4 linked regions of the Saccharomyces cerevisiae S288C genome follow. The protein of the gene in region 1 interacts with the protein of each later gene in a biochemical or structural test. Each region holds a gene or a part of one and is shown in the gene's direction. Other genes may lie near its edges. The genes, in order: RSP5, ACK1, LDB19 and ART5.

Region 1 (8,493 bases):
AGAAATGTTACTTTGATTCATTGATATGTTATTTGTTTTTATTTGAAAGCACTCAAGGAAACTAGACAACAGTAGTATCAATAGTAGATCCACTTAAATGCACATCATTTACAGAATACATCCTCTTTGTGAAGACGATATCCTCTTGGTCATCATTCAATCTACCTTCGCTAACAGTATTTGCTGAAGAACAATCCCAATTACCAGAATTTGAGAACATATCATCAGATGTTTCTGTCATACTATGGTCACTCTCATTGGATAATGATAACATAGAAGAATCAGATATTCCACTCTTCCCAGTACCATTACCATCGATTATTTTACCGGTATCGACATTGAATTGAACTTGACAAATTTGATGTAATCCCAGTTCACAAAAATTGTCAAGAGTTACTAAACTTCCATCGTTTGCCATATCAAGGAATAAAAATCCACATCCTTTTCCATTGGCCTTAGTGTCATTGCTCTTCAAGCAAATATTTTTATCACTCATACCACTCACAATAATGTTTCCACATTGGAAGACTTGCTTGGTTAATAGTAGTTCACTTTCACTATCTAGGCTAATTGAGTTAAATCCATGGACTAACTCACCATATTTCATGTTTTGTAGGTTTTGTAAATCCCAACAAATGACAAAGCCTTGGTCATCACTGCTATATAACGCGCCTGTGTTTTCGTTAAATTTTAGACTTTCAATGTATCCTTTCTTAGCATATAATTCACAAACTGGTTTACCGTCGCAGGATTGAATGTCCCAAATTTGAATTTTATCGTTCAAGCTCTGTGCAACGTGATGATTACTTATCCATACGCAATCCAAACTTGTGTTCTTTCTTTGCAAATGGTCTTTTCCACATCCTGCAGATATGCTATTATCTAAAATATCTGGAATATAGAGATTTGTTCTCAAATCAAGCAGCGAGATGCCATTTGGTCCAAATTTTGAGCCAACTAAGGCCAGTAAGAAGGGATCATGGAATTCATTAACGGCAAAAGAATTTATACCTGGATATGATTGCAAAAAAATAGGTGTTTTTATGCAATCAAGATTTGATTTCAAGTCATATATAAAGAGGGAGTCATTTAGAAGGGAAACAAAACCGGTCTTGTTCCATGGCGAAACCTTCAAAATAGGTGCTGTTTTTGGCGTTATTTCCAGAATCGGAATCGACGTTGATACGGTAGATTTTAGAAACTTGTTGTGGTTAAACCTTTTTATTATTTTAGCACATCCCTTATATGTTGAAGTTGCTATCAGATTGACTATACCGTCTTGATGACCTGTCAATATTAATTGGTTGTGGTTAGGATTTATTTGAGAGCTGGGGAAAATCTGTGGCGGAAAATCTACCATGGGCAATAAGCAGATACAAGTAATGGGTTTACCGGGAACAGTAATCGTCTGTAGTTCCTTCAGCTTTTTCTCAGCGGAAATTTCAAAAAGTTTCAAGTTGTCTTTCTCGTTCATTGTAGATACTAGAAGTATATTATCCACAATGGACATGTCTGAAGGTATGGATAACTCACTTTCATCAACACCGTACAGTTTCCAATAATCTGATTTTAATTTTTTAGTTGTATAATAGTCATTGAAGTTGTCTGATGCTTTTCGCAAAATCGGTGAATTCATTTTCGAAGTATTGTTTTGCCACGTTTTTTTGTATGTGGATAAAGTCATCATCGATTGTAAAATCCTCTTTTTATCTGATCTCTTCTTTATATTAATAGCAGGCTGACGAAAAATATTTGTTGGTTCGTAGTATTTGGTATCTTGCATAATATTAATACGTGTCACTCTCACTATCACACCTACAATCAAATTTTTTAGCAAACACAGATTAAAATTTGGAAGTCATGCAAGAAGAAGAAGCCAAAAGATAGTTTGAGGAAAGCTTGGGAGAGATATTTCTACCTTTTTATATATTGTAAAACGTTTACGCACTTATTTATGTAAACCAGTAAGCACCCACCCAGCTATGTCGTCATGACTACAAATTGGTTATGAACCAAGCCTTATTCAGTAAACCAGCAAATTTAACATCATGCCGGCATTGAATCATACATAGAAATCAACACAATAGCTTTGAGAACTGAGAATGTAGCTTTGACGCTGCTATTATTATTTGGTATTGTTTACCTTTTAATGTTTATTTGTTTAGAAAACAGACTGCTGGTTTGTTTACATTTGAGAGCAGAAAAAAAAAATTGCTGGCGCAGACCAGCCGCACAGTCACGTGACAGTATACGATCATGTGATCTTACGTACATAATGACATTATACGAGAAAGGGGAAAAAACAAAAATTTAGTGGAAATTTTTGGTAAAGACCAAATTGCAGTGATCTTCATGGTGAAAGGTAATATTTTTTGCTGGCGGGGGAGGGGGCTTCTATCTCGACAATTAAAAGACATACGCTTAACCATTTTTAGGGTACTCGAGTATCGCATCTGCTAATTGATAAAAGGACTTTGTTGTGTTTTGAGGCTGTTTTCCATTTTCTTCGTTAGAGCTACAAGAGTCGACTTTTTCGTTAAACAAAAACGATTATAAGATAATAAGCGCTGTCAGTTTTTTCCACAGTTTTGGACTTGTTACTATAATTCGTGAAGCACATTTTGCAAGTGAGTCAAAATTTCAGTTCAGTCCTTCTTTAGAAGAGTGAGTGCGTAGCAAATAAAACAGCAGGAAATAATTGCTTGTTTTTGTGTGTAAGTACCTTTTAGTTGGAACTACCGAATATAGTGTTATTCGACTTTCACTTTCATAAGCCACAGCTTTTTCTTAGTGCGTTTTTAGTTCGATAAATTTACCAAAAACTATTTTCCCCTTTTCTTATTCCCTTTTCTTTGTTAGCTTGGGTATTATATTTAAAGTAACAGAAAGGAAAGAAAAAAGAAAAAAAATGCCTTCATCCATATCCGTCAAGTTAGTGGCTGCAGAGTCATTATATAAGAGGGACGTATTCCGTTCCCCGGATCCGTTTGCTGTTCTGACTATTGATGGTTACCAAACCAAATCTACATCCGCAGCGAAGAAAACGTTAAATCCCTACTGGAATGAGACTTTCAAATTCGACGATATCAATGAAAATTCTATTTTAACCATCCAAGTCTTTGATCAAAAGAAATTTAAAAAGAAGGATCAAGGGTTTCTTGGCGTGGTTAACGTCCGCGTGGGTGATGTTTTGGGCCATTTGGATGAAGATACTGCTACATCGAGTGGTAGACCTCGCGAAGAAACTATTACTCGTGATTTAAAAAAATCTAATGACGGAATGGCCGTCAGCGGTAGGTTGATTGTTGTTTTATCAAAACTACCTTCGTCAAGTCCGCATTCACAAGCTCCTTCTGGCCATACTGCATCTTCTAGTACGAATACAAGTTCAACTACTCGAACAAATGGTCATTCTACTTCCTCCACCCGTAATCATTCAACGTCTCATCCTTCCAGAGGCACCGCGCAAGCAGTAGAATCAACTCTTCAAAGCGGTACAACAGCTGCTACTAATACGGCAACAACCAGTCACCGTTCCACCAATTCCACATCCAGTGCTACCAGACAATACTCTTCGTTTGAAGACCAGTATGGTCGTTTACCCCCTGGTTGGGAGAGAAGGACCGATAACTTTGGTCGTACATATTACGTCGATCATAACACAAGGACTACCACTTGGAAACGTCCAACGCTCGATCAAACAGAAGCCGAACGTGGCAACCAATTAAATGCAAATACTGAGTTAGAGAGAAGGCAGCATAGGGGAAGAACTTTACCTGGTGGATCATCAGATAATTCCTCTGTAACAGTTCAAGTGGGAGGTGGTTCCAATATACCTCCTGTTAATGGTGCAGCAGCAGCAGCGTTTGCAGCTACAGGTGGTACCACATCTGGTTTAGGCGAATTACCTTCAGGCTGGGAGCAGCGATTTACTCCAGAAGGAAGAGCTTATTTCGTTGACCATAATACTAGAACAACCACTTGGGTGGATCCAAGGAGACAACAGTATATACGTACTTATGGCCCTACAAATACCACCATTCAGCAACAACCGGTCTCCCAATTAGGTCCTTTGCCTTCTGGATGGGAAATGAGATTGACCAATACGGCACGTGTATATTTCGTTGACCACAATACAAAAACAACGACCTGGGATGACCCAAGACTTCCATCATCGCTAGACCAAAATGTTCCACAATACAAGCGTGACTTCAGACGTAAGGTTATTTATTTCAGGTCCCAGCCCGCTCTTAGAATATTGCCGGGACAATGTCATATTAAAGTACGTAGAAAGAACATTTTTGAGGATGCTTATCAAGAAATTATGAGACAAACCCCAGAAGATTTAAAGAAAAGATTAATGATCAAGTTTGATGGTGAGGAAGGTTTAGATTACGGTGGTGTTTCCAGAGAATTTTTCTTTTTATTATCACATGAGATGTTTAATCCATTTTATTGTTTGTTTGAATATTCTGCGTATGACAACTATACCATTCAAATAAATCCTAACAGTGGCATCAACCCCGAACATTTGAACTATTTCAAATTCATTGGTAGAGTTGTGGGTCTTGGTGTTTTCCATAGAAGATTTTTGGATGCATTCTTTGTAGGTGCACTTTACAAAATGATGCTACGTAAAAAAGTCGTATTGCAAGATATGGAAGGTGTTGACGCAGAGGTGTATAACTCATTAAACTGGATGCTTGAGAATAGTATAGATGGTGTCTTGGATCTGACGTTCAGTGCCGACGATGAAAGATTCGGTGAAGTTGTAACAGTGGATTTGAAGCCAGATGGGAGAAATATTGAAGTTACTGATGGTAATAAGAAAGAATATGTCGAATTATATACCCAATGGAGAATTGTTGATAGAGTTCAAGAACAATTTAAGGCATTCATGGATGGTTTTAACGAATTAATCCCCGAAGACTTAGTAACTGTGTTTGATGAGCGTGAACTAGAACTATTGATCGGTGGTATTGCGGAAATTGACATTGAAGATTGGAAGAAACACACTGATTATCGTGGTTACCAAGAGTCAGACGAGGTCATTCAATGGTTTTGGAAGTGTGTCAGTGAATGGGATAATGAACAAAGAGCCCGTTTATTGCAGTTCACCACTGGTACTTCTCGTATACCTGTCAACGGGTTTAAAGATTTGCAAGGCTCTGATGGTCCAAGAAGATTCACTATTGAAAAAGCTGGTGAAGTACAACAATTGCCAAAATCTCACACATGTTTTAACAGAGTTGATTTGCCACAATACGTTGATTATGACAGCATGAAACAGAAGCTAACATTGGCCGTGGAAGAAACCATAGGGTTTGGTCAAGAATGATTATTCCGCACCAATTTTTTTTTTATTTATGGTGTCCGTTTTCCCAACATTCTTTCTGCCTCAATCATCTTGTTTTATATTTCAGCTAACAATAGTAAAGAGAAAACTCTTTTTTGTTAATTTTATCTGAGTTGCTCATGAAATGATTAATCATTGTTGTTTTTACAGCAACATGGAAAGCAGCAAAGAAAATGCAGGAAAACGTGAAGTGCTTTTTTTGATGATTACGCAAAGTTCTTTTCAAGTTCGCCATAAGAGGAGGTTTTCCTTTTCAAAAGGAGCATGATACCAATAATTTATATTGCCTTACGCCTCTTATTTTTTATATCCTCTTTTTAGATTTTATTAATTTTTTTTTTTATTTATATACATATAATGTGCCCTGCTTTTTACAACCATACGTTTTTTGTTTTTTAATTTTCTTGCATTTTAAAACTGAATAGTGACCTGGGTATTATACTACAGTTGAAATTGCTCTCGTGAGGTACATACTTGAAACGAGCGTACTAGGCAATCCCTCTCTTGCCAGTCACCTACACACGGAGAGTATCGGTTATTTGTCGTGAGGAAAAAAGAACCGGATAATAAATTCTTGATTTGTTATATTGTACAGAGAATGACGAGAAGTAAAAAGAGAAACCCGAACAGGACAGAGCGTACATTTTTTATATACCTGTTCTTTTGTGCTTGTAGACGTATATCGTATTATTAAATTAAAAGTAAACCTAATTTGAACCATCGAGATAAAAAAAAAAAAAACGGAGCACTTTTTTGCTCATACAAGCAAAACCGCATTGACACAGCCGTCTCTGTCTGGTTCGTTTGTGACCTGAGCATACTTACCCCAGACAACTTTACCACCAGCAGTAACCATCCCCAATTCCGAAACGTTAACTTCAATAATGGTACCTTTAGTCAAAACACCTAACTGAGTGTACATTGGAGATTGTGGATTCTTCTTAACTGCCAAAATTGGCAAGAAGACAGTTACACCTAATTCCGGATGAGTGACGTTTGCCTTTTTCTGTCTCAACGCACTTGGTCTGATGATTCTTTCCATTTTAACTGGTCTTCTAGTGAAACCTTCACCCACAAAAGTGTGTTTCGTTATCATTCTCTTCCATGACTTGGATCTAGATTTACCTGTTTTAATAACTTTGAACATTTCTTCTTCACTTATACCACGAACCTTTGGTAACGGAACTGAAAACTTATCAGCTTTTTCCAACCTCTTTTGTTTGATCGATGAAGAAATAGCTTTGGCTGTGTTATTTTGTTCTCTGTCCAATAGATATGTCGGCAAAGCATCACCATCGGTATCCAATGGTTTGGATGAACCCTTGACCTTAGATTGTTCATGTGCCTTAATCTTCTTTCTCATTGATACCTTTTCAGCATATCTCTTCTTAGCAAATTGCTTACCCTTCCAACCAGTCAACTTCTGGGCCCGTTCAGAAATCTTATGAGACTCTCTTGCCTCTCTCTTACGTTTCCTTTCTTCGTGATCTAATCTTTTACCATGCTGTTTGATGTGACGCTCGATATAATCGTTTTGAGGCATTGTTTCGTTGTATATATCAGTATTGATACGAGACTGACTACTGACTAAAGATAAAAACGCCAGATACGAAAACCAAGTTCTTCTCTAACTGATACCTAATCCATTCAATTGTCTTAAAAGTGCATCTCATCGCTGTCCGGAAAATTTTTCATCGGATTGTTACTAGAACCGTTGCCGACGACATAAAATTTTTTACGCCTTTCCTGCAAGGTTGAAGAAAAGAAACCGATGAGCTATACCATTCTAAAGTGTCAAAAGAGATGAAGAAATTAAAATTGTCAACTAACACACAAATCCAAGAATGTCTGAACTTAATGCATTATTAAAAGATATCAACGGCTCGCTCACTGCGACATCAGAATCCTTGGAGAGGTTGTCTGGGATTTATAGTAATTCTGCGACCGATGAGATTCCTGAAAGTAACCAACTACATGAGCATCTATTTTACGACGCTAAGAAGCCTGCTGAGAAAGTATCGCTGCTATCCTTAAAAAATGGGAGCATGCTAGGGTACATAAATTCTCTATTGATGCTTATAGGCAATAGGCTAGACGACGAGTGCAAAGATCCTTCTGCTATGGATGCACGTGAACGCTCTATTCAACACCGTGTGGTATTAGAGCGTGGTGTTAAACCACTAGAAAAAAAGTTGGCTTACCAATTGGACAAGCTGACTAGAGCATATGTGAAAATGGAAAAGGAATATAAAGACGCTGAGAAGCGTGCACTGGAAAAATCTACCTTAGTGAATCATAGCGGCAACGACGATAGCGAAGATGATGAGTCTAGTGAGGATGAAATAGCATACAGGCCAAATACCTCTGGAATTATCAACACAAATAAAAAATCATCAGCATACAGGGTGGAGGAAACGGCTAAGCAAGAAAACGGGGAAGAAAACGATGACAATGAGACTGGCGTGTATAAACCACCAAAGATTACGGCTGTTCTACCACCGCAACAAACGCATTTTGAAGATAGATTCGATGCCAGAGAACACAAAGATCGTAGTAACAAATCGCGTATGCAAGCCATGGAAGAATATATTAGAGAGTCATCGGACCAACCGGACTGGAGTGCATCTATTGGTGCTGACATTGTGAACCATGGAAGAGGCGGTATCAAATCTTTGAGAGACACAGAGAAGGAACGTAGAGTCACTTCATTCGAAGAAGATAATTTTACCAGATTGAATATTACAAATAAAGCTGAAAAAAGGAAGCAAAAGCAACGAGAAAGAAATGCAAGGATGAACGTTATCGGTGGTGAAGATTTTGGTATATTCAGCTCAAAGAGGAAGCTGGAAGATAGCACTTCGAGACGTGGGGCCAAGAAGACTCGTTCTGCCTGGGATAGAGCTCAAAGGAGACTGTAGATACAAAAAGTTTATTTTCTTATATCCTAAAGCGTTTATAGACTTAATATTTAAAAGTTAAATATAAATGAAGGGCACTGGTATATAAGCTATTAAAAACAAGAATTTTGGCTTTCACGACATTAACGTGTGAGAGGTTTAGGCACCATTGCCTTTATGATTATTAGTCCCTCCAGAATAAACTCTACCTTTTTTTTTCTTTTTTTTTTTTATAGTCCT
Region 2 (8,314 bases), on another chromosome or scaffold:
CATATGTTCCCTTGGTGTTACGGAAACGTAAAGAGAAAACGAATGTACTCTTAGGTTCGATTGTGATGTGTGCATTGCTATTTACCATATCTTTTACAGACTGGTTTCCCAAGAGCACAACGAGGTATATATCAATACTATTTGCTGTTTTTCTTTTTACGCACTTCATCAGTTGGGATTCTATAGGATGGGTTATGACCATTGAGCTTCTACCTCACTTGTCACAGGCCCCAGTGATACTACTAGTCTCAAACTTTTATTGGATTTTTAAGTGGTTCGTCAGCTTAATAACCCCTATACTTATTGACCGTCTGTCTTGGAAGTTTTATCTTATTCCATCTTTATCTTCCTTTATTTCCATTATATTTGTGCTGAAGATTTTTCCTATAGAAACCCGTGACGAAAGGTTAGATTCTGATGATGATTCTACCGGAAACGGTAGCGGTAACCATGATGATGTTTTTGACGATACCGGTTCTGAATTCTCCTCCTCACCATCTTTTTCCGCGTATCAGATAAACACTCTAGGAAGTAGTATCAAACAAAATAATCAAGCCTATTCATCTATTCAAAATGAGCAGATTCTACCCAAAAACGGAAACTTATCGAACCAGACACACGGTTCTGCACAAAATGTTTATTTCATTACATCTGATTCAGGACCATCAAGGACTGGAGAATTTTTCAGTTTTCATAACAGAACCGATCCAAATATCAGCGACAACATTGCTGCGAATAAACCCAGTTCAGGTGGAGGCCAGAATTCGCCTGGAGACATGGCAGTTGCCTAGTATGGCCTCATAAAAATATTTGCTTCATCCTAAGTATAAATGTTTAGTTTTATCCTACATACATATTCTTATTATAGTCATTAGAAAAAAGGCACGGCGCTATTGGCCTGGCAGGGCATTTAAAATGCGGTGGAAACAAGGAAGATTAATCAAGTAATGATATAGCATATGCACAAAAAAAAAATTGAAAACGGTCGCATTTTTGATCTAAATGGACCAACGATGAAGGAACTGCTTTACTATACATTCATTGAAACTGAAGTGACTGGTGCATTTTTGGTGTTTAGGGAAAAGACTCAAAACCTTGTTTTTGCCTCGTTAGGTAATGATAAGCTTTTTTTATTGGGAAAGGTGGAAGGCTTCTTGAAGAAACATGAGAAACAGGATACAATGTACGATTTACAGGAACTAAAAGAGGCAGAAACATATAAGAAATCAATCGAAAATTATACAATATGTTTAGAAAACAAAATGCCATTACCATCGGGCGCTATTCCCTTTGAGTTCCTGTTTGGAACAGATTTTCAACGTAAAGTTTGGAATGAGCTTTTAAACGTGGAACACGGCCACGTCGTAACATATGGTGATATTGCAAAGAGAATAGGGAAGCCAACTGCCGCAAGATCTGTCGGAAGAGCTTGCGGCTCAAATAACCTGGCATTGTTAGTACCTTGCCATAGAATCGTTGGTAGCAATAGAAAATTAACCGGATATAAATGGAGCTGTAAACTGAAAGAACAGTTATTAAATAATGAAAAGGAAAATAGCTTAAGCCTTAGTAGATTGTAGTTGGATAAAGGATTTTAGGAAAATAAACATAAGAAATAGTTATGTATATGTGGTAAATTGTTCTAGTTATACATCTATGTTACAATATGGCTGGCGTTGGTAATCTTGTGAAACAAGCGACGAACTTGTCACCCTTCTTTCTTTCCACTTTTTTACCTTCTTCTGTGGCATTTCTCATTATTTTCACACATTCATCGTTTTCTTCCCATTCTTTGCTCAACCGTTCAAATAAAGGATGCTCTTCTAAATGTTTTACCATCCACTCATGCAGGTCTTTGACGTCTGTAATTGTGTACACGACACCGCCCTCTTTCAAAACATATGCGTACTCACTCAGCAAGGTGTTAGTGATAATTCTTGCCTTATGCTTTCTTTGTTTGAAATGAGGATCGGGGAAACAAAAAAACATTTTAGAAAGCTGGCCCTTTTCAAAAAAGTTGGGCAAGAATTTCATAGCGTTACCTCTCAAGACATTAATGTTTTGAAATCCATGTTTTGAAGCTGTATTGTTCCTTAAGGCAATAATTCTATCCTCCACGTAATTTGTAACCTGCACACGAATTTCCATCCCTAAGATAAGATCTTCAGGGAAGGCTGGTGATAAATCTATCATCAACCCACCGAATCCACAGCCAATATCAGCAATCGTCACCTTCTTTGTCATTTGTCCATTTTCCGCGTTTTTGTAGTAAGGGTACAATTTGGACCAATCCATATCCTGGGGAGATACTGGGTACTCTAACTGGTGATCTGAAAATGGGTTGGAATGCGCCCTTTGACGATAATATCTCTTCTTTGGCAAGTCGATCTTTTGGCCTTCTTGCACCAAAGAACTTTCATTGATCTTTACATGCTTCAACTCCTTACGATTTTCTTCCTTATTTATACGGTATGCGTAACGCTTGGAGCCTGGATCTTGGCTTAGTGGCTTGGCTTTCATCTTAACAATAAACGCTTGAAAATTTTATCCTATGGGAACTGCTGAATCTATACTAATCCAGCTTTTGTGGCGCTTTAATAAAGTGAAATGTCAGAAATATCCTGAAATTTTTTGCTGAAGTCATCACCAAAATTTTTCATTTTTTTTTTTTTTCAACGGTCGCTGAGATATGTAAAAAGGTAAGAAAGGTAAAAGAAAGGTAATTTTGACGTCAATACATAGACTAAAGTATATTTACCGTTATTGCTTCATTGTCTTTTTATTTTTTGATGATGTATGTACATGATTGAATAGTAAAACCTTTATAAAACTTGTCGAATTACGGGCATTTTCTTTTTACTTTGATCCCTTCGATTCTGCATCTGTAGTTGACTCCACATCCTCTTTAGGTTTTTGGTTGTCATTGTGAGATTTTAGTGTTAAATACAATGCATTTGAACTGTTTTCCAACGTACGAACCAAACCCAACCCACTTAGCATTTGCAAAACGCTGACTAACTGCGACTGCATTTCCGGCTTTGTGGGGAGAGTCTTAAAAGTGTTTATTTTTTCCACATTCAAAACTTCGTTTTCTACTTTTGCACCAATCACCATCAGCTTGTCTTGTGCTGACTGCAGAACCTTCAATAGCTTGGCTACTTGTTGAGGGTTGGTGTCTTCGTATGTAATTGTGGCCGTAGGACCCTTCAGTAGTGGCAAGAGTGGATGTTTCCAGTTTTGCTCTTTACGCTTCACGAATCCACATGGGTCGGGCAGATGCGAATTTCTCAAGTAGACTTCGAACAGGTTGTTTCTTACTTTTGTGAGTTTCCCTCCTGTCTGTTTAATCTTGAATCTGAAATGGTGATCTTCTGTTTTGGAAAGATTATTGTAATGGACAAAAAAAATCATAGAACTGTTCTCCATTAAATGCTTGTATGTATCGATGAGAAACGTCTTCCTCGAGTCCAGCGGCTTTACTGTCTTTCTTGAGGGTTGTTCAGAAGCCAGAGCATAAAATCTCTTATGTACTGTACCAATTGTCTCCTTCAAACCAAAAAAACCATTTCTGGGGACCCATCCAGGCATAAACCTTAGCTGCAACATTATTTATAATCACACTCCGCGCCCAAGCACTTCCAATAAGGTCTAAAGCTTTTGTTTTCCTTACTCTTCAATTGTACTAACCTTCTTTCTTTTCTCAGTTTACTGCTATAACTCTACGTTTTTTTCTGTATGAATCTCTACTAAGCCCTAGGGTTATTAGTGTATAAACGTTAGGTTACACTATGAAAAAGACTTGTTTAATAGGTCATATAGTAAAAAGCTTAGGTTAAGTGCCTTCAAGAACGAAACCTAATTTTAAAATTGACGACTAATTATCAAGTGTATTGAAGATGGCTTGAGATGAACCTTAGCACTGGATGCTATGGCTTGTAGAATAAGCAGATATCCCGGTAATTTAATTTGAGTTGCTCAAATTATATACAAGAACGTGGTAGAGACTGGATTTGGAAGCGTCTCTTTTTATGAAGTAGATTTTAACTCCGTTTTCTTTTCATTTCCTTCTATTCTTTTGTACAGAGTGTACCACCACGTTTTAATACTTTGTTTTAATACAGTAGGCAATGGTTAATCAGGGCCAACCGCAACCTAACCTCTATGACAAACACATTAACATGTTTCCACCAGCAAGGGCGCGGGAGTCCTCGCATAAATTGGGAAATGCCAATTCGGATAGGCATGGTTTGCCAGCTCAAAATATAGTGCCTGCACCCTATCCAGTGGATGACTCTATCGTTGAACTCACACCAGCTATTCCTTTTACATCCCCTTCATCTTCCTCATCATTATCGCTGCCTTTGAGTGCGCTGAATTTCACAGACGGGAATGCTGATGGTGGTCAATTAGGCACTCCAGTAACCATAAATAGTAATAACGGCATGGACATTTTTAATTCCAAGCCAACAGGTGAAATAGGATATGCCAATAATGGCACCAACAGTACTGGTAGTAGGTATGAACTTCCTTTCAATTTTAGTTCTACAAAAGAGAGTTTGGGTTCACCAGCTGTACAAGATGCATCAATAAGCAGTGGAAATCGAATATCAGAGTCTGTAAGGGACAACTCAGCGCCACCACCCTATGAGGAATCTGAATCTAGGATACTGCAGGAAAAAGTTTACAGAACCGAGGAAAAAGCTCCAATACGACCTTTGAATAATAATCCTGTTCCACCACAAAAAATCAACCAACCACCCACTGGGAGCGCGAAGACAGACGATAATGGGTCCTCAGGTGGTGAGGACAAACTGTCTTCCTATTCACCAGAGGCATTGGCTTTCTATCAAGTGTACAAGAAGACAATTACTGACTCTTCAAAATTCACCCCCGAGATACAAATGCAATGGTGTGAAACATTACTTACATATGCCTTTAATGAGGATTTCATATCGCAATATAACATAAACGCGGAGAAGCTCAAAAGAAGCTTAAAGCCTGAGGAAATGCTCAAAAACCAGAAAGTCATTTTGGAACATTCATTCAAGGTGCTCACAAAATTGATAACTTTAAAATGGCCACCTGCCATGTATTTAATGGGGACGCTGTATTCACACCAACCCTATTTACCTATAAAGAACAAAAACATCGTTATTAAAAATGATGAAAAGGCGCTGGAATATTATTGTAAAGCTGCGAAATTGAACAATTCAGATGCATGCTACCGTGCAGGTGTATGCTTTGAATACCAAAGGGGCACCTCTTCTTTGGATCCATCACCAACCAAAGAACAATGCATAAAAAAGGCCTTCCAATACTACCAGCATGGCGCAGAAGTTTGTTCAAATTCTGCGTGTATGTATAAATTAGGGATGAGCCATTTATACGGTCTGAACATGCAAAAGACTGATGTATTGCTAGCTATTAAATGGTTTGATAAAGCTGCCCAAAAGGGTGACTCTCCACAAACATTATATGAGTTAGGTAAAATATATGAATTCAGTGTTTTGCCGCCAGAAATCCAGAACCTATTATTTGCGAACGGCATACGAAAAGACTCTCAACTGGCAATAAAATACTACCAACAATGTGCCAAAGATTTTGAGTACCCTTTAGCGCAATGGAAATTAGGAAATTGTTATGAGTTTGGAGACCTAGGGTTGCCAGTGGTGGCCAAAAAATCCATATATTGGTATTCCAAAGCTGCTGCTGCTCAGCCGAAGGGGAATCCGATGGCAATGTTATCCTTAAGTGGATGGTACTTAACGGGAGCACCAAATATTTTGAAACCAAACAATAAAGAGGCATTCAACTGGGCCTTGAAGAGCAGCAAGTGTTCAGACGGTAAATTAGCCCGCACTGAATTTGCCTTAGGATTTTATTACGAAAAAGGTGTCGGTTGTGAAGTTGATTTGGATCTGGCCAAACAATATTATCAGAGGGCTGCAAGAATGGGATTCAGGAAGGCAGTTGATGCTCTTCGAAGTTTGACAAATTAACGAATTCGCATTTCTTTATTATGCCATAAATCAAATATTATTCAGGACATTAGTAAAATATTGTAACATTCTCCTCAAAAATGAGAGGAGAATAAAAATAACAAAAGCGAAGAAATGCGACGTCATTTACTCATTATTTTAAACTAAATAAAAAAAATATTGTAACTACTTATCGTTGTAATGATATCTTTTCTTCAAAAAAATATATAGTTGGTGATAAATATGACCTCTTTGAAAAAAAGAAAAGGAAATGAACTACTAGCTAGAAAGAAGAGAGAAAAAAAAAAAAACTAGATTATGCGTGTTGCAATTTTTGCTTTAGGCCGTGCGTGGTTTTGTGTAAGGTTTCATTATTCTTGATGGGAATCGATTGGCTTTCGGCGGGTTTAGTGGTGTGTCTAGTTGGAGCTGGAACGGTGATTGGATCTGGGATTTCCTTGCTTCCTACCAGATTGTAATCACCATCTTTTAGGTTTTGCTCCAGTTCACGCTGATGAGCTGCTAATTCTTCTTCAATATCAACTGTTCTTGGATCATATGTCTTGACATCTGGTTTACTGAAGTTTTCATGCCTGTTGTTGAAATCCTTCTCTGTTGGTATTTCCTGCTTCCCAGATTTTAAGGTGCCAATATTCTCATTCTGAGAAACTGGATATTCGGCTCGGTTATATTGAGAGGTAGAATAGCTGTCTTTGCCACTTTTGGAGGCTGACGTGTCGTTCATGTTGTCAAACTCAGAAGAGGAAAGGCCGCTCTTGTTACGTTGAGAAGTAGAAGATTTGTTTTCGTTACTGATAGAGGTTGAGTAGCTGCCTTCATCGGTTTGGGGTGGGATAATCTTGTCAATGTATGGTTCAGTCTTTTCAACCACCTTGTTGTAATTTTTGTGAAACCTATGAATAACTAGATCCTTCATCCTGTCGATAGCACGGTCAATTCTAGCCTGCTTTCTATCGTAGATTAAAGGCACAGTGTACAAAAAGATGGTGGTCATTATCAAAACAGTGTTCATAGAGAATATAGCAAATAGGCCGTGCAAGAAATAGAGGGAAACACCAATGGTAAAATTGTTTCTTGTTCTGTGTGCAAACACTAACTTTCTGATTCTGTCCTCTAACGCAGGCAGACGATCCAATTCGCGGTCGATATGAGGCTTTAAGACGCCAACAAGGTCCGGAGACTCTTGCATGCCAAACCTAGACACTACTCCTTTATCAAATAGCACCTTTGTAGAAAGCTCCACCGCAAAACTCGTGAACAACACCATGTATCCGATCTTAAGTAAAACAGAAATAACATTGACATTTCTGAGGATCAGCAAACTCACCAGAGTCGCAGCAAAGCTCGCACCCGACTTGCTAGGGTTAGTCCAGTATATCAATCCCGTCTTGTTCTGATGACCTGCTTCACCGGGAGCGTTAGCATTTCTACTGTTATTCAAATTCGCGTTCTTATTGGTAGTCGTATTCCTATTCATGTTGATGATAGTTTGTGGCAAGTTGAGACAAGCAATTGAACAAGTTATTACTACTATTGCTACATAATTGATCTGCTTTTCAATCCCTTTTATATATTTTTTTCATCAAAGTAGCAAGCTTTATCGTTTGAGGGTGGAAATAAGGGTGAACAATAAGGGGAGATTGCCTATGCGCCTAAACGTCACCGTCTAACCTTGTTCTCCTTTCAACAAAAACGCCTTGCGTTCTTATTGCTAGGCCACAATTACAAGCATCTCAAATGGGGCATTATCACACCGGTACCACCGACACATTCTGCTGCTACCCTTGTAGTTTAAGTTAACTTTGCGTCCACTTTTCGTAATTATTTTGCTCCCTGGCAGCACCGGGGGTAAAGATGTCTTTCTGGCTAATGCAGTCATCCTTACATTGTCGTTCGTACGGCAGTCCAGGATTTTTGACCATCTTTACGCAGCAATTCCCATATAACATTCCTTCTCTCCTTGTCAATTGACCCTGGGGAGCGTCTGACCAATAAGAAACCGATGAGTAAGCAATGAAGGTCTTTTTTTTGGCTACGAAAATTTCAGCAATTTTTTAAAGTGAAAAAGTAAAAAAATCAAACATAAAAAAAGAAAGAAAATGAAAAAGTAAAGGAACGCTTTATATAAACGAGGCTACTAACTATCTGTATTATTGCTACACATAGCCTGAATTCAAGGTCATTGGCAGATTGACGCTCGTGTTTGCATGGTACAGGGCTGTATTAGATTTTGAATATTCTGTTCTTCTCATCCCGTATTAATATCTAGAACAATAGAAAAAAAGAAAAGCGAAGAAAATCTAGATAAATTTGTA
Region 3 (8,526 bases), on another chromosome or scaffold:
TAAATGTGTCACTAGGTGCAATTGCCAATAATTAATTGTAACCTACTCAATATCTATTTTAGCCCTACATACGTTAGGGTCGAAAATCTGTTGGGGTTTTGGTTTTAACAGCGTAAACTAAACCAGATAAGCATCGAGAAACGGCGCTTGGCACATCGTATATCAACAAGACAAACCAGTGACCGGAGTTCTGAGGCGTCTTCGAGCCTATTTATTTATTGATCTGGGTCGGATAGTTCACCCTATTTGTGGAGGAAAAGACCTTCCCATATCTAAATTTTTTTTTTTTTTTGGTTTAAGTTATAGTTGATACATTAAGTGAAAATGAACTTGCTAATTGACCGGATGGAGAATCCCGGATCGAGGAACTGTACCCTGTTACCTCCTTCATTCCCAAGAGGCTTTTGTAAGGGAAGAAGGGCTTCCAGTGGCGACGCAGTGAAGATAAAAGAATCCGGTCTACAGCCGCAGCCGCAGCCGGAACCTCTACAAGCTAAAACAAATGTTGCACACTTTTCGAAATCATCTTCTAGATTACCTGTCATAGCAGTGAATGATAATCCGGTGGTCCCAAGACCAAGCACTGAAGTAAACTTGGGATCGTTGTTACAAAAGGAAAGGGAGAAAGAAAAGGAGGAACAGCCTGCGCTGCATGATAGGAGACATTTATATGTGACAAAGAATAGGGCACATGGGGTACGACAACGTTCATTGGAAATGACTAGCTTACCTGTCCTGGGATCGACCAAAACCGGGAAGTTTAGCGATTTTTTGTTTGAAGATGACATCGATAACAGAGTAGGTCGACACAGTAGATCATATAGTGGGGCATCCAGTTTGGATGATCCATTCAGAGTGTCGCCGAAAACCGACTTCAACTCTAATAGGGCCAGATTGTCTTGCCTTAGTAAAGGACGTCGTGGTTCGATGTCCGTTTTCCAAAGCTGTCATACTGGGCTAGCTTTCAATCAAATACAGGGTTCCTCCTCTTCGCAACGTAGATCATCCGCTGGTTCTTTTGATTATGAGAGGAAACGATTGGTTAACCAATTTTTACAGCCTTCTTTGGGAAATTCAGACCCATTTGATACGTTGAGGGAGTCGGTAGTGTTTGAGCCCTCATCCACCGCTGGCGGCATTAAATTAGGGAATATGCATTCTCAATCACAAATTTCCGTAAACTCCTCCCCCAGCACATCTTTGTTTTATCATGATTTGGACGGTTCTGCTGTCAACGATTCTTCGTCATTTCTGTATTCCCGTTCTAATGTACCAGCATTTTTGTCGTCATCAGCCTTTTCGTCCACGTCATCCACCTCATCAGATTCAGAAGATGTGGATAGAAGAAGTTTAAACGGTGTATATCCCTCTTTAGGATATTTGACTAACCAGAGGAAACCAAGGAATTCATCAGGCTCTTCCACTGCACCTGGCACCGATACCTTGGGATTTAAGTATTTACTGAATAGGCAGAAGTCAGCGGATTCTTCCACTAGGTTCAAGAGTGTACTGAAGGTGAACAATAATAATGGCTCCGCAGCCACTCCTGATTCTAGCTCAAACTCTATTTCGAAGAGCAACTCAAATTTGAATGATAACATTGATGAATTGAATTATTATCAAAATCATATTTCGACACTTCTAGTGAAGATCGAGAATGAGATGAGAAGAAATTTAAACGATACAATAATCAAGAATGAAAACAACGTTCAAAAAACTATCCAAAAGTATGATCTTCTATCAGGAGAGTTAACCCTTTTATTAGACGAAATGACCACCTTGCGAACCACGGTGATTAATCAATTCTTGGTCAAGTTGAAATCAGACTTTGACGAGGATGACAATAAGGCGTTTATTAATGAATTAAAGATATCAGTCGAAGAAAGTGTAGCGCAATTACAAGGATTGGAAAGGAGAATGGAGGTTTGCCAAGAGAGATTAAATAAACAAAAGTCCTCTCTAAGGGAAATGGATAGTTTGATAGAGCTGAAAAACGTGTTAAATAAATCGAAGAACAACACGAAATCCATCTACCTGTATAGGTATTTCATCATTGACATTATTGCATTTCTTTTGATGGGCGGCTTTATCGTTTACGTCAAGAATTTGTTAACTCGTTTTTTTACTCGTTAAAAAGTCAAAACAAGGTCACTTTACAAAAATGGTACGCGTACAAAGATAAAATCACCTCTGAACATAATAATATACATCTATATACATATATATATATATATATATCACACATCAATCAACGCGCATGGACATTTGAATCAATGGGGCAGGAAAGGCGATGCAGTGGCCAAATTTCTTTGTTCATTTGTGGCGTTGGGTCAATGAGTCAAAAAATGAAAAAAGTCGACAGACGTTTTTCAAAAAGCTTCAAGAAAAGAAGAGAAAAAGTAAAAGCGTATTGGTAAAAAGAGTAAGAACAAAAAGGAGCACAGGCAACCAATATAAAGATGTCCAGTTCACAACAAATAGCCAAAAATGCCCGTAAAGCAGGGAATATTTTGAAAACCATCTCAAACGAGGGCAGATCAGATATTTTATACAAAATTCACGATGCCCTGAAGGCTAATGCGCATGCCATTGAAGAAGCGAATAAAATCGATTTAGCTGTTGCCAAAGAGACTGGCCTAGCGGATTCTTTATTGAAACGTCTCGACCTATTTAAAGGGGACAAATTTGAAGTTATGTTACAAGGTATTAAGGATGTAGCCGAACTAGAAGACCCTGTTGGCAAGGTTAAAATGGCCAGGGAATTAGATGATGGCTTGACGTTGTACCAAGTAACCGCTCCAGTCGGCGTTTTGTTAGTTATCTTTGAATCCCGTCCAGAAGTTATTGCCAATATTACCGCATTGAGTATCAAGTCTGGTAATGCTGCAATTTTGAAGGGTGGTAAAGAGTCTGTGAACACGTTCAGAGAAATGGCAAAGATCGTTAACGACACCATTGCACAATTCCAAAGTGAGACTGGTGTTCCTGTGGGCTCTGTGCAATTGATCGAAACCAGACAGGATGTTTCCGACTTGTTGGATCAAGATGAGTACATCGACTTAGTTGTTCCTCGTGGTTCCAATGCCTTAGTCAGAAAAATCAAGGACACTACAAAAATTCCCGTGTTGGGTCATGCGGATGGTATCTGCTCAATTTACTTGGATGAAGACGCAGATTTGATTAAGGCAAAAAGAATTAGTTTGGATGCAAAGACTAACTACCCAGCTGGTTGCAACGCTATGGAAACGTTGTTGATTAACCCAAAATTCTCTAAGTGGTGGGAAGTTCTGGAAAACTTAACTTTGGAAGGCGGAGTGACTATCCACGCTACAAAAGATTTGAAAACTGCGTATTTTGATAAACTGAATGAGTTAGGGAAATTGACAGAAGCAATTCAATGCAAAACCGTTGATGCTGATGAGGAGCAAGATTTTGATAAGGAATTTTTATCCTTGGATTTGGCTGCCAAGTTTGTTACATCTACAGAATCGGCCATTCAACATATAAATACACACTCTTCGAGACATACCGACGCTATTGTAACGGAAAATAAAGCAAACGCTGAAAAATTTATGAAGGGTGTCGACTCCTCTGGTGTTTACTGGAATGCATCAACTAGATTTGCCGATGGTTTCAGGTACGGTTTTGGTGCTGAAGTGGGTATTTCTACCTCTAAGATTCACGCCCGTGGTCCAGTTGGCTTGGACGGTCTGGTGAGTTATCAATACCAAATAAGAGGTGACGGCCAGGTTGCTAGTGACTACCTTGGTGCTGGTGGTAACAAAGCTTTTGTTCACAAGGATTTAGATATAAAGACTGTGACATTATAAAAATTTTTAGGATAAAGCTAAGTTCCATGTATGAAGGACGTGTATACATAGTTCAGTAAAGCCATCAAATAAGTACTCTTGTCAACTCATTCTATGGTGTGATAGTTAATTGCTTACTTGTATCGCTATTAACGACTTTTTTTTTCTTTTGGCGGAAGCTTCAAGACAAAAATGCGATTTGAGCTGACTCGAACACTTATTAAACCAGACGGAAAAGCACGACTCATACATATCATAGGCAGTTTTTACTAGGGCTCCGAATACTTTGAATAATAAGGTTGATTAAGTTTGTGTGCTTCATCCAATTAGCTTTCAGTTTTCCTTATTTAAGCTTCTGATTTCGGAATCAAAAGTTGAGCAACGTTATAGCTTGCTTTTTCGGAGGAGAACGCTGTTGTTCACATTTCAACACCAGAAATTGCTGATTTTTACTCCTACTTAGTATACATTTCACTAAACAATACGTTTTACCATGGCATTTTCACGTCTTACATCTACTCATCAGTCCAATCATAACGGCTACAGTAATAGCAACAAAAAAGGACAAAGTCTTCCACTAACCCTTTCTATTGATGTAGAATCACCGCCATGTGTTCTTTATGGGTCTGCTATGGAATCCTCAGGTGCTGTGCTAAGTGGACTTTTTACTGTGACGGTTGTCGATCCCTACAGTAGTGCTGAAGATAAATCTTTAAAGAATACAGAATCTAATGTGTCGACTACTTCTAAAAGCCTAAAAAGAAAGAGTACATTTGGTTCTGCACTTTCATCTAGATTGTCCAGCTTGTCAGCGTCGACGTCAAATATCTCTCCTTCAACATCTTCTACATCCATATCGCATTCTCCCACGCCTGCTAATTTAAGAATAATGGCTGGTTATACCAAGATCACCATTACGTCGGTAACACTAAGTTTGGTACAGAAGATCCATTTCCATAAACCCTTTGTGCCTAATATTTCCTCAATGCAAACCTGTATGAACTGTAAAACAAAGATTACAAACATGAAAAGCTGGGAAATTCAGAGTAATACCCAGGATCTTTCTGTTGGAAGCCACTCTTACCCATTTTCCTATCTTATACCGGGGTCTGTCCCATGTTCTTCATCGCTAGGTGCTACGGCTGAAACCCAGGTCAAATACGAACTTATCGCTGTTGTGACGTATATAGATCCTCATAGAAATTCCTTTTCTTCCGGTCATTCTACTCCCAGGAAAGAAGGAAGCTCTTCTAAGAAGCGGTTGTTGCAACTAGCGATGCCCATCGCCGTGACTCGAAGTATACCGCGCGGGCCTGATAAGAATTCTCTAAGAGTATTTCCTCCTACAGAGTTAACTGCTGCTGCTGTTCTTCCTAATGTTGTATATCCTAAATCTACTTTTCCTTTGGAGATGAAATTAGACGGTGTTTCTTCGGGGGATAGGAGATGGCGAATGCGTAAATTGAGTTGGAGAATTGAAGAAACTACAAGAGTTAAAGCACATGCTTGTCCAGTGCACAAGCATGAATTGAGGCAGTTAGAAGAGCAGGTTAAAATAAAAGAGTCAGAAAAAAGTAAAAAGCCACGCAGTCATATTAAGCGTTATGGTGAACTAGGCCCACAAATCCGGGTTGCAGTAAACTCTTTAGAAAATATGCCGTCGCAAAGGCTTCCAGGCGAGCCCGGTCGTGAACAAGCACCTAATTCTTCGGGTCCAGCGTCAACTGGTAATGTTGGACTTGATGATGAAAATCCTGTTAATGAAGATGAGGAAGACCAACCCGGTAGCGAATTCATCCATCCCAGTGACGACGCTTTGCGTCAGGAGTTACTAATGCAGCAACAACGCGCAAGACAACAACAACTTCAACAAGAGCTAAAAAACAACAGTAGTTTATTTACGGAAGAGGTTCGGATAATATCTAAGGGAGAAATGAAGAGTGGATGGAAAACCGATTTTGACAATAATGGAAAGATTGAGCTAGTTACAGAAATAGATTGTATGGGACTTAATTCAGGCGTCTCTAATCCGGTAATGCATGCATCGACACTACAAACTCCTTCCACGGGCAATAAGAAGCCCAGCATCAATGTGGCTTGCGATATACAGGATCCAAATTTAGGTTTGTATGTAAGCCACATCTTGGCAGTGGAAATAGTTGTTGCAGAAGAAACATTGCAATATGCCAATGGGCAACCTATACGGAAACCAAACTCCAAAAACAAGAAAGAAACTAATAACAATACGATGAATGTTCATAATCCTGATCAACGCTTAGCTGAATTATCTCCAATTTTTGCAAATAGAAATACACCGAAAGTACGGCGCATGGGGCCTGAAGATATAACACCGGTGAATAGTAATAAGTCCAACCATAGTACTAATAAGGAGAAGGCATCTAACGGTGCTAGTAACTCTAATATAGTGAGTGTTCCCACTGGTGCAGCACGTGTTTTAAGAATGCAATTCAGATTAACAGTCACTGAAAGATCTGGACTTGGAATCTCCTGGGACGAAGAAGTTCCTCCCATTTACCAAGATGTCGAGTTGCTCTCGCCACCATGTTACGAGCTCTCTATAAATAATGGAATCAAAAATAAACTTTATTCAACAATGAGTACTCCTGTTAGATCAGAGGATGATTTTGTGGGCGGCAGCGATGAAGATATTGGGAACTATGAGAGCCAAGGGCTCGAACCTGGTCCTAACGTACAGGAAGTAACGATCACACAAAATAAATTAACGATACCACCAACCGCACATCACTACCAGCCTGCTTCCTCTTCGCAAAGATCCCTTACCACAGTACAGTCACCACCACTGGAAAGTGTTGTTAGTGTCCAGGGTAGTGTACCTTTTCGTGGACATGTGTTGACACCACATAGCACAAGAGATATCAGAATACAAAACTTTTCCGATTTTCTAGATTCCAATAGAATAACCCAGTAGATTTTATAATATTCGTTAAAGGTATTTACCATATATTTTTATCTTAGATACCTGAAAACTACAAATCTGATCAATAAGCAAACCCTGACCATGATTTGATGCATTTCACAGATAACTACATACAGGCATTGTTTAACACTTGAGCATTTTTTTTCTCGTATTTTCTTAAGGCTGGACTGGATTAATATCTTCATTTCGTCGTAGGTACATAGCTTTGTTATGATAAAGAAGAAGGCATAAGTCGAAAAAGATATTTCGCGCATCAATTAACATTTTTTGTGTGGTGAAGAAAAGTTTTTGATCATTCTATATATCTATGTGTTACGTATATCTTCAACAATCTGCCACGTAGGTAGCCATGCCAAGTACGCGTAATCATCTACTGGACCATCCATCCCAAAACTAAAAGGAGAGAAATAAAAAAATCCAGCGATCACGATTGATCCGTATACAATATAAGCTCCTAGCCTTAGAAATTTTCCAGTGTTTCTTGTAGCCCAACGTTTGGTAATCATATCGAAGTAGTATGACAAGATCATTAAGGCAAAATAAAGGGTGGGCAGATAGTGGTGAGCGTATACAACTCTTGACATCACTACGAATGGCATATAATGTAAAAGCCAAGCAAGCAATGGATAAAAGGCTGCCATAACGAACACGTCACGTTCGACTGGATCGGATAGGATAACACATTGTCTCTGCCATTTCAGAGTTAAGAATATAACGTGTATTATCAGTGCGCAAACTGCGATGCTTGAGGGCCAGACGGACGCAGGAGATCCTAATAAGAAGTACTTTATAGATTTTTCACTCCATTCGCATAATCTTACCCCGACGTTCAAGGTTGGCCATTGCCAGGCAGATGAAGCTATACCATCAAACTTTTCAGGGTTTGGTACCAAAGCATTATTGGTTGCCATCATTGCTGAATTTAACTGCATGAAATTCCTGAAGAATGAAGTCTTCGGATATACGAAATCTTCTCCCTGTGGCAATCTTTCATTTTCATGTGTTTCGATATTCCACCAGGTTCTCTTATCCCTTTTGGAGGCGTGTTTTAAACAGACAACTTCACCTTGCCTGAAACCCCATTCTGGTAAATGTTTACCTGACTGAGCTAAATAGCAACCCAGTATAGAATTTTTAATACGGAAAGATGTGGATAGCGGGTGTAGTAGTGTTGGATCTTCTTCCCCTACTTGTTCCACGATTTCTATAATCCAGTTATCTTTGTAGTCACCTAAGTCTACATCTCCGTAAGCAGAAACTTCATATTCACTTTTCGATATAGGCGCTGGGACTTCATGGGTGTGTAGATTCTTGCCTGTTAGGCGATGCATTAATCTATACATTTCGCCACCCTTTACAAACTCAATTGTCTTGTTCTCAGCATCAGTCCAAGGCTCTACTCCTCTGATTCTTTGAAAAAACCATTCATTGTTAGCATCACTGTAACCATAGACAGTTACTTGCTGTTGCTCAGAACCTTCTGGGAATGGTTGGACATGAGAATGTAATAAAGCGCCTCCCAACGCTTGATTTTTGATGGAAATAATAGAAGAACCCAAAGCAACATCACGTGGTCCCTTACCAACTTTTGTACCGTTCAGACTGGCTTGAAATAATGATGGCATGGTAGAGTCGCCGGGCCCTGAGTTGGACAGCAGATCAAAATGGATTTTGAAGCATAACAAAAAAACGCAAACAGGAATGATGATAAGCCCGAATATTCTTGCTAGCCAATGGTTGACATAAACCTTCCAAGAC
Region 4 (7,919 bases), on another chromosome or scaffold:
CCTACCATTTGCTTAAAAGTAATATGTTTAGTTTCATCAAGGAGCCTTTTTTGCTCTTGTTTCACCTTTTCTATTAATGTCTGTAATCCGGCCGGCTGCGGCGCGTACAAAGTAACTTGATATTGTTGTTTCGTACCGTAATAGGCGAATACAATAGCATTCTTGGGATTGCTCGTTTGATATTGGGGTAAGAGCACACCCGCTGAGCAATTTGGGTTTTCTGTCACATATCTTTTTATGGGTGGCATATCCTCAGCCGGACAAATAAACAGTAAAGGGAGTGGAATTGGTCTCTGAAATACAGTGTGTTGGTGCCACTTGTTTACAGCTTTTGATTTCAAGAATAATAGCATATTGTCGAGTAGGTAAAATTGAATGTCTCCTGAAAAGGACGCATCTGTTTTGTTCACGTCCTTCCTTGAGAGTAAACCTTCATGCTTGATTTTCCTTTTTTCGTTATTCAAACCCAGATTAACGTATTCATTTTTGAATAGAATTTTCTGCTTTAACACTTTAACGTCATAACGATCTTGTGCTGCACCGCTTGCTCTATCAATCCTTTTCATTAGATCCTTTAAAAGATCTTGGACTTTCATTAGCATTTGTAGATCATCTTTGTCTGTTACTGGGTCCGAGAAGTGTATTATTTCTCTTACCAACAGTGAATATCTACCAGGTCTTGAAACACCCTGAGATAGGAATGAATCGATCCCATGCCTCAGGGAAGAATTAGACACTTCATCGTCAAAACGAGCAAAATTGGGATTAACTGATCTTTGGGTTTCAATTAGATACTTTGCGTATGGTCTTGATGCTATGTATGACAGAAAAGGATCAAAGAAAGGAAGATACTGCAAAAATATATCTGCAATTCCAGGACAAATTGGGCTTAATGATTGCCTTTGTGCTAAAGCCTTCAAAAATTCTCTATTGACAGAATATATTTCATTGATATGTGCGAAAACGTGCTTTACAAAATTTATCCTTACATCAGATGGAATAATATTCGTTTCTAATAATTTCTTCATGAAAGTATCTCGGATGATTTCCAAAGATTTTACAAACTTCTTTTCTGTAGTAAACAACTCATATATTGCCTCCTGCCTTTTGATTTGTTGTTTGGATAATGATTCCCATACGCTCTTTGGTACAGAATTTGTCCAGGAAATTCGTTCATCATCCTCCTTATCGAGTGCTAACGAAATATTTCTCTTAAGACCACCACCTAATTTTAAATGTAAATTAGCCTGTTGTTGCAAACGATTGGGGCAAGAAATAGAGTAGCAAAGTTTTTCCAGAGAGCATGTAGAGGAATAACAATGTGTCAATGGGACAAAAACACCATATATTTCAGTTTTAGTACGGAGCGAATTAACTGAAGAAGATGATGAAGAAAATGTGTTGGCAATTGAAGTAGAACTCTGCGACTGATGTGCCATAAAAATTGATTCTGAAGATAACTCGTAAATCTCCAGTACAGAATCTCTTACGCCATGGTCATAAAGTACGTCATGGAACAATTTTTGAGCTTCCAGCGATTTTCCGATCAACATGCCCAAATTACGATCTAAGCTTCCTATGATCAAGCATAAAGTATCAATTGCTTGTTTTCCTGTAAAGGAATCTCTGTAAAGTAACCCCATCTTTTTATGCGTGCTCAATTTGATGGTCTGTTTGAATTTAATTGCTATTAGTGATAAAAGTGCAGGATAAACCAAAGGCGTGCCTTTGATCATGGATATTTCCGTCAGAGAGACAGGACTTGATTTGGACCTTGAATGATGACGTTGGTGTTGATTAGTATGGCGTCGATATTGACTAGAATGATTGGAAGAGTTTGATGAGCGTCTATTTTGGGTTTTCAGTGACTCTAATGCAAATAAAGAAGAGGTGCTAGAAGAACTATGTTTTCCATTGAATGAACTGTGTAACTCCATCGTGTGACCTGCACTTTTGGGAGTTGGAGGCGTAGATAGCTGGTTTGGATCCCCCATATGACTGCCACTGTTTTTGGAAAATGATAATAGTGAAGGAGATGAATGTTTTCTTACGTGAGGAAGCAAAACATTCGATCTTTTTTGAGAAGGTGATGAAGTGGTAGTGCAACTGTTACCTTTATCTTGTCTGGTCGAATCATTTATTGAAATTTTTTTATTAGTAGGTGAAATCTGATCGCCTGTGAAGGATTGTGGACTTGAATTAAGGTTTGTTGAAATATGTAGGACAGGAGATGCCTTTAATTGGTGGGAAGAACAGTCCGGTGCTATCCTATACCGTGCACCGGTGTCGTGCCCTAGTGTATAATCCTTCAATGAAGCCTTATTTTCATCTTCAGTACTATCTTCATCCTCATCGTTAGTGATAGAAATTTCATTGATGTTTGTCTGAACTTTGGAGCCGGAGAACAACTGAGTAGGGGTTGAAGTATCTGATTTTCTTTTCTTACCGAATATCTCATAAAAATATTTATTTCTTAGATCCAGTTCATTACTATTCATAACCTAACCAAATTCTTACCAACGACTTGGTTTTATTTATATCATTACTAAATCAACAAAATTTTTGCTTTAAAATTCAAACGTGGCGTTCTTTTTTTTGATTTAGTTTTATTTATTTACTTTTTCATTCAAGAGCAAAGAAAAGTTTAAAATTAACGATTCTCCCTTGGGCCCCTTATGATATGTCTAAATATTGCCGTTTTAGGGCAAAAAAGATGAAGTGCGTTTACTTTCGTATAGAGTTTGTAGATATGACATTGGCAACAAAAAATCATGGGAAATTTAAGAAACATACAAACGTATGCGTGAAAAAAAAATCGACACTAGACGCACTAGGTGGTGCTTAATTGGAGTACTGGAGCGCTCCTTTAGATACAAGATGACAATTTATTGAAGATCGAGTAGGGGACGGATTACTCCCACATTAAACAGCAGGTCTTTCTTATTATAAGGAATACAAAAACAATTGAAGTAAAATGTTAGATCTAAAAATGTTTCTTTGTCTTGCTTTGTATGTATGTAATAATATACTCCTGAATACTTCACTTCGTCTTTTACAATTCTAAAAAGGCAGTTTCTTCGAAAACTGAAAAAAAAAAAAAAAAAAAAAAAAAAAAAAGAAATAGAAGGAAAATGAAACAGATGATTAGGATGAGTATAAGATGGCAAAAGTAAAAAATATCTTGTACAGCTCTCGGCGAGAATAGGGTGAAGCAAGACCATGTTTTCACTTAGTTCGCTATCTAGCAGCGGTGGGCATTCAGAGCAGAAGGAAAGAGAGAGAATAAGTTATTTTGATATTAGAATAAACTCCCCGTACAAGGACATAATTTTGATCCAAGGGTCACCGTTGGAACTGTCGTCTATACCTTTATCAGGAAACTTAGTGATTTCAGTGAAAAATGAGATCGTAGTGAAGAAAATTTCGCTGAGATTGGTAGGAAGATTCAAATTGGAGTTTTTGCAAGTTGGCCGATATAAGAAGAATAGCAGTAGTTTGGCAAGTCTAGTTAAGGAAAAGCGTAAGATTTTCGAATGCTATTGGGACAACTTATTGGTTTCTTCAAAAGGGGATGTTTTAGTCGGTGGGGAAAATGCGGAAAATCAACATAACAGTAGTAGCGGTCGCAGTACAAGCAACCAAGATATGGACACCAGCGGCAACGCAATATTTCTAAGCAAGAGATCACTTTCGAGCCCTGTTTTCAACAAAATAATTCGAAGAAAGACCCATTCTTCCCACAGAAAAATACTAGAGCTACCAGAAAATGGTGTTACAGGAACCCCTTTCGAGGGTTTAAGAGAAAACGCCCGTAGTAGAAGCAGTAGTAGTAACACCCTCAATAACAATAGCCATAGTTATAGTAACAGAGACGGGTCTGGAAGTTCGTACTTATTCCTAATGAAAAGAGGCAACTACGAACTACCCTTCAATACAATGCTCCCCCCAGAAGTGTGCGAAACAATCGAGGGACTACAAAGTGGTAGCATACTGTATTCCTTTGAAGCCATTATAGATGGACGTCAGTTATGGGATACTGATCTGAGCGTTCATACTTCTCCTCACGGTCCAATCGGTAGCACAAGTACGAGCGGCAATGGTATGAGAACGAAGAATAAAATTATCATCAAAAAGTTCAAGTATCTCAGAATCCTTCGTACATTATCGATGGACAATCTTGCCATGCAAGAAGAAATTAGCGTGGGTAATACTTGGCGTGACAAGTTGCAATACGAAACGTCCATCCCGAGTAGGGCTGTTCCTATTGGTAGCACAACCCCCGTGAAGATTAAGATTTTCCCCTTCGAAAAGAACATTCGTTTGGATAGGATAGAAATGGCGCTAATCCAATATTACGCAATGAAGGACAGCAGCGCACAAATTTATGATGATGAAATAGCCGTCATGAAAATTACTCATCTAGCGGACTTCGGCCCGCTGACGGACAAACTTGACGTCGATTGTCCCTTTACAATTCCAGATAACCTCAAACAAATAACTCAAGACTGCTGTCTGCAAGACAACCTAATCCGTGTCATGCACAAATTGCAGGTACGTATTCTTTTACAACGTCAAGTGGATGGCGAATACAAGAACCTGGAGATCAAGGCGCAATTACCTATGTTATTATTTATTTCGCCGCATCTGCCTATGAAAGGCCGTCTAGTGTTGTTTGATAAACACGATGGCAAGATCCACTTCCGCCCTGGCGAATTAGTACCCCTTTTTTTAACCACTTACCCCGCGCAGGGTCTGACTCCAGGCGTTGAACTGAACTCCACTACAACGGCGCACCTCGCGCTGCCACAACCGCCACCGAATTATCACGAGAGCACCAACGATCATCTCATGCCGGCGCTACAGCCGCTCGGCGCCGATTCGGTGGTACTGACAGTGCCGTCATACGAGCAGGCGCAGGCGCAGGCATCGGCATCGTCTTACGTGACAGGGTCCGTACCCGCTTACTGCGACGATGACTGATCCCCGCTCTCGGCGCCCCGAGTCGGCTACCCCGCGTTGGCAATCCCCTCCGATCGTCCGCGGCAAAATGGTCGTCAATCGGACAAAGGGGGATGATGGGATCTGGTAATAGAAGAAAATATGGACTAAAGGTAGCCGCTAAAGCGATCCAGGCATGTGTTGCCAATGATGTAAGTCAAGCGAAGGAAATGGTTCAGTAATATGATAGACAGACTGCACTTCAAGGGTGCGCCCCCTCCCCCGCGCATATGCTTACAACGCAAAATAATTGACGTTTAATGTGGATACTTATCGTAATCGCTGCATTATAGATTTCGAGTCATGTTCACTTAACCCCACATATTTATATAGAACGCATCTTCAAAGTACTTATAAAGTTTAGTTTTACATTTTTCTGCTTTCTATTTCTTCTTTTTCGGTTCTTCTTCATGCCAGTTGGCATGGCTTAAGAGCTTTACTTGTCGCTTTTATTTAAAACCTTCTCTCGGGAGAAGACAATTGTTGATATACAGTAATTGTATTTGCATTATCACTGCTATGGCTGCGGGTCAAAAAAAATATATATGTTCCTTTTGTTTGAAGCCTTTCTCGAGATCCGAGCACAAGATAAGGCATGAAAGGTCTCATGCGGGCGTGAAGCCTTTCCAGTGCCAAGTCTGTAAACACTCTTTTGTTAGACGCGATCTCTTACAGCGACACATCAGGACTGTCCACAGAACCTTCCTCTTATCCAGTTACGCGTCAATGACAGGCGATAAGGCTGATATCCCTGTATCACTTGGCGTTGGTGACGTTGATTCGACTTCACCCAGAGATATCAAAATGGAAACACTCGTTAATTCGATGATTAAGGTCAACAGCGGCCTTATCAATATTCACTATCATAGTAGTAATGTTGAAAAAATGGATAAGCAGCAACGTTGTGTGATTGGGAAGGAGTCCTCTAGTTTAAAGAAAGGGAAAAGCCGCTTTAAGCAGGTTAAAAGCCGGTTGGAGTCCTCCATCAGTGTAAAAATTTTGCAAGAATATTCATTAGATTTTATTAGCTCAAGAGATATTCTAACTTTCTTCAGAATGGGTGTAAGCCACTTGGTAGAAAATAAGATCTTCCAAAATTTCTTTCCAGACCTGTTCTCATCACTACAAAATGACGAGCTGGTGGAAAGTTTTTGGATTAACAAGCCTTTTGGTCTCATAATAGCTTGTCTGGGTATGTCCATTTCGTTAAATCAAGATTCTCAAAAACTATGGTTTATCTGTTGTACGAATTTGTATGCTAGCTCATCTAAACATGACAATGACTTTGACACTGAGGACATTTTGTCACAGACAGAGCAACATGATGTTTTTGCCTTGATTCTATTTTATTCTCTTCTAGTAATGTTGGAGAATAACATTCCTGTTTCTAATTCCATTAAAAAGTTCGATGTGTTTTCAATGCTTCAAGATATTCTGAAGCCATTCACCGTGGCATCCTCCAGTTACCATTATTTGAATAGTAAGGAAAATGCATGGTTCATATTCGATCTATGGGTCAATATCTTGCGCGATTCAAACAACTTCAACAACGATTCTTTACTAATATTTGGTTGGTTCGTCAATCAAGAGTTTATTTCGTCTAATCCACTTAAGGACTTCATATACAAGGGACCGTCAATGTCCACTACTGACTTAACTTTAAAGCATATCAATATTTTGGCAGATTCCGCGTACGTGTATTTTATAATAAAGAAGACTTATCCGCAAGAGCTGCCATCTGATTTTAGAGTGCATGATTTGCTGGTTTACTTGAATGAATGTTTCGTAATGCAGCAGCCGATCAAACCTGAAACTAGTGCAAACCCCTCTTTATTTGCGAACGTTATGAACGCCAGGATTACGGACTGCAAATCGAAAAGTAACTGGTTATTGTGGGAAACGATTTGGTTCGAATTCATCAACAACTTGACTTTGAGAAATGGGACCACAAGGAACATATGGTTCATTGATAACTTTCCACAGGTATCGACCTCGTGCTTACTTCATCATTCTTCCTCATTTGTTGATGAAACCTTGATCACCACGAACTTATCAATCATATCAATGCTTCTTAATTTGAAGTCTTTCACGCTGGCATCTTTAAACCCAAGGAATATTCAGTTAATTACCGACATTGTCAGCTTCCAACTAAAATTGTTTTCATCGGAGTTAATTGCAAGCTCGGATGTTTCACCATCACAAGTATCTCAATTACTAGTAAACCCCAATGTTCACCTAATGTTATATTTCTGGTTCGATACCATTTATGTACAACGTCAGAGCTACCTTTCATCAACAGAGAAAGAGGAATTTGAGAAGGTTGAAGTGTTTGTGAATGACTACATTATAACACACCAAAAGAACTTGGTGACAGACTTACACTCCATTTTGTTCGATTTTTGGTCAGATTCCTTCATTGCTTACCATATACTACTGCATGCTATTGTATCTTCATTAAGAGATAATATTCTTTACCCATACTTAATCTACTCCCCTCACCTGAATGACCAGACGAAAGCATTGTTGACTGATATCTCTAATTGGTCTTGTTTTGCTCTTCAACAGCCGTTTCGCAAGACTTCAAGAGGTTCTTTATCTGGTGCTTCTGATATGAAATCGTTTTCAGTAGCATCATGTTTGCCACTCTCTCCTAATTTCCTAAAGAGAGATTCAAACTGTAATAAGATTCTCCTGCCCCCATTAGATATAAAAGCCATTGAACCTATCTCAACGAGTAATTACACCTACGTGAACTCGGCCCCTAAGCAACAAGAGAAGGAACAACCATTGTTAAGGGCAACAGGAAACAATATCAATTTAGTCCAAACAATAGTGGTCCCACCCCAGGTAAACATGGAATCACAAGAATTCTCAGCTTCTTCAACTGACAATAAACAAAGTAAAAACATTGAAATTTTTAG

The links.
Region 2: of the proteins of RSP5 (region 1) and ACK1, one has a biochemical effect on the other in vitro, tested with the Saccharomyces cerevisiae proteins (3 studies listed by BioGRID, with this or other methods).
Region 3: the proteins of RSP5 (region 1) and LDB19 form a complex in vitro, tested with the Saccharomyces cerevisiae proteins (4 studies listed by BioGRID, with this or other methods).
Region 4: the proteins of RSP5 (region 1) and ART5 form a complex in vitro, tested with the Saccharomyces cerevisiae proteins (4 studies listed by BioGRID, with this or other methods).

Annotation. Positions count from the first base shown.
Region 1 is NC_001137.3:407,281-415,773, forward strand, and holds RSP5 (NEDD4 family E3 ubiquitin-protein ligase), read left to right. Parts: upstream 1-2,908; coding exon 2,909-5,338; downstream 5,339-8,493. Other genes in the region: DSE1 (Dse1p), read right to left, coding at 62-1,783; rRNA-processing protein NSA2, read right to left, coding at 6,114-6,899; small subunit rRNA maturation protein LCP5, read left to right, coding at 7,201-8,274. UniProt on the Saccharomyces cerevisiae protein: E3 ubiquitin-protein ligase which accepts ubiquitin from an E2 ubiquitin-conjugating enzyme in the form of a thioester and then directly transfers the ubiquitin to targeted substrates.
Region 2 is NC_001136.10:93,767-102,080, reverse strand, and holds ACK1 (Ack1p), read left to right. Parts: upstream 1-4,127; coding exon 4,128-5,999; downstream 6,000-8,314. Other genes in the region: YDL199C (uncharacterized protein), read left to right, coding at 1-791; MGT1 (methylated-DNA--protein-cysteine methyltransferase), read left to right, coding at 1,014-1,580; TRM8 (tRNA (guanine46-N7)-methyltransferase), read right to left, coding at 1,660-2,520; mitochondrial 54S ribosomal protein uL10m MRPL11, read right to left, coding at 2,857-3,606; RTN2 (Rtn2p), read right to left, coding at 6,295-7,476; YDL204W-A (uncharacterized protein), read right to left, coding at 7,796-7,948.
Region 3 is NC_001147.6:916,839-925,364, reverse strand, and holds LDB19 (Ldb19p), read left to right. Parts: upstream 1-4,302; coding exon 4,303-6,759; downstream 6,760-8,526. Other genes in the region: FRT1 (Frt1p), read left to right, coding at 325-2,133; PRO2 (glutamate-5-semialdehyde dehydrogenase), read left to right, coding at 2,460-3,830; dolichyl-phosphate-mannose-protein mannosyltransferase PMT3, read right to left, coding at 7,074-8,526. UniProt on the Saccharomyces cerevisiae protein: May be involved in protein-linked oligosaccharide phosphorylation since the deletion reduces the negative charge of the cell surface.
Region 4 is NC_001139.9:622,385-630,303, reverse strand, and holds ART5 (Art5p), read left to right. Parts: upstream 1-3,219; coding exon 3,220-4,980; downstream 4,981-7,919. Other genes in the region: Rho family guanine nucleotide exchange factor ROM1, read right to left, coding at 1-2,498; YGR067C (uncharacterized protein), read left to right, coding at 5,518-7,919. UniProt on the Saccharomyces cerevisiae protein: May regulate endocytosis by recruiting RSP5 ubiquitin ligase activity to specific plasma membrane proteins in response to extracellular stimuli.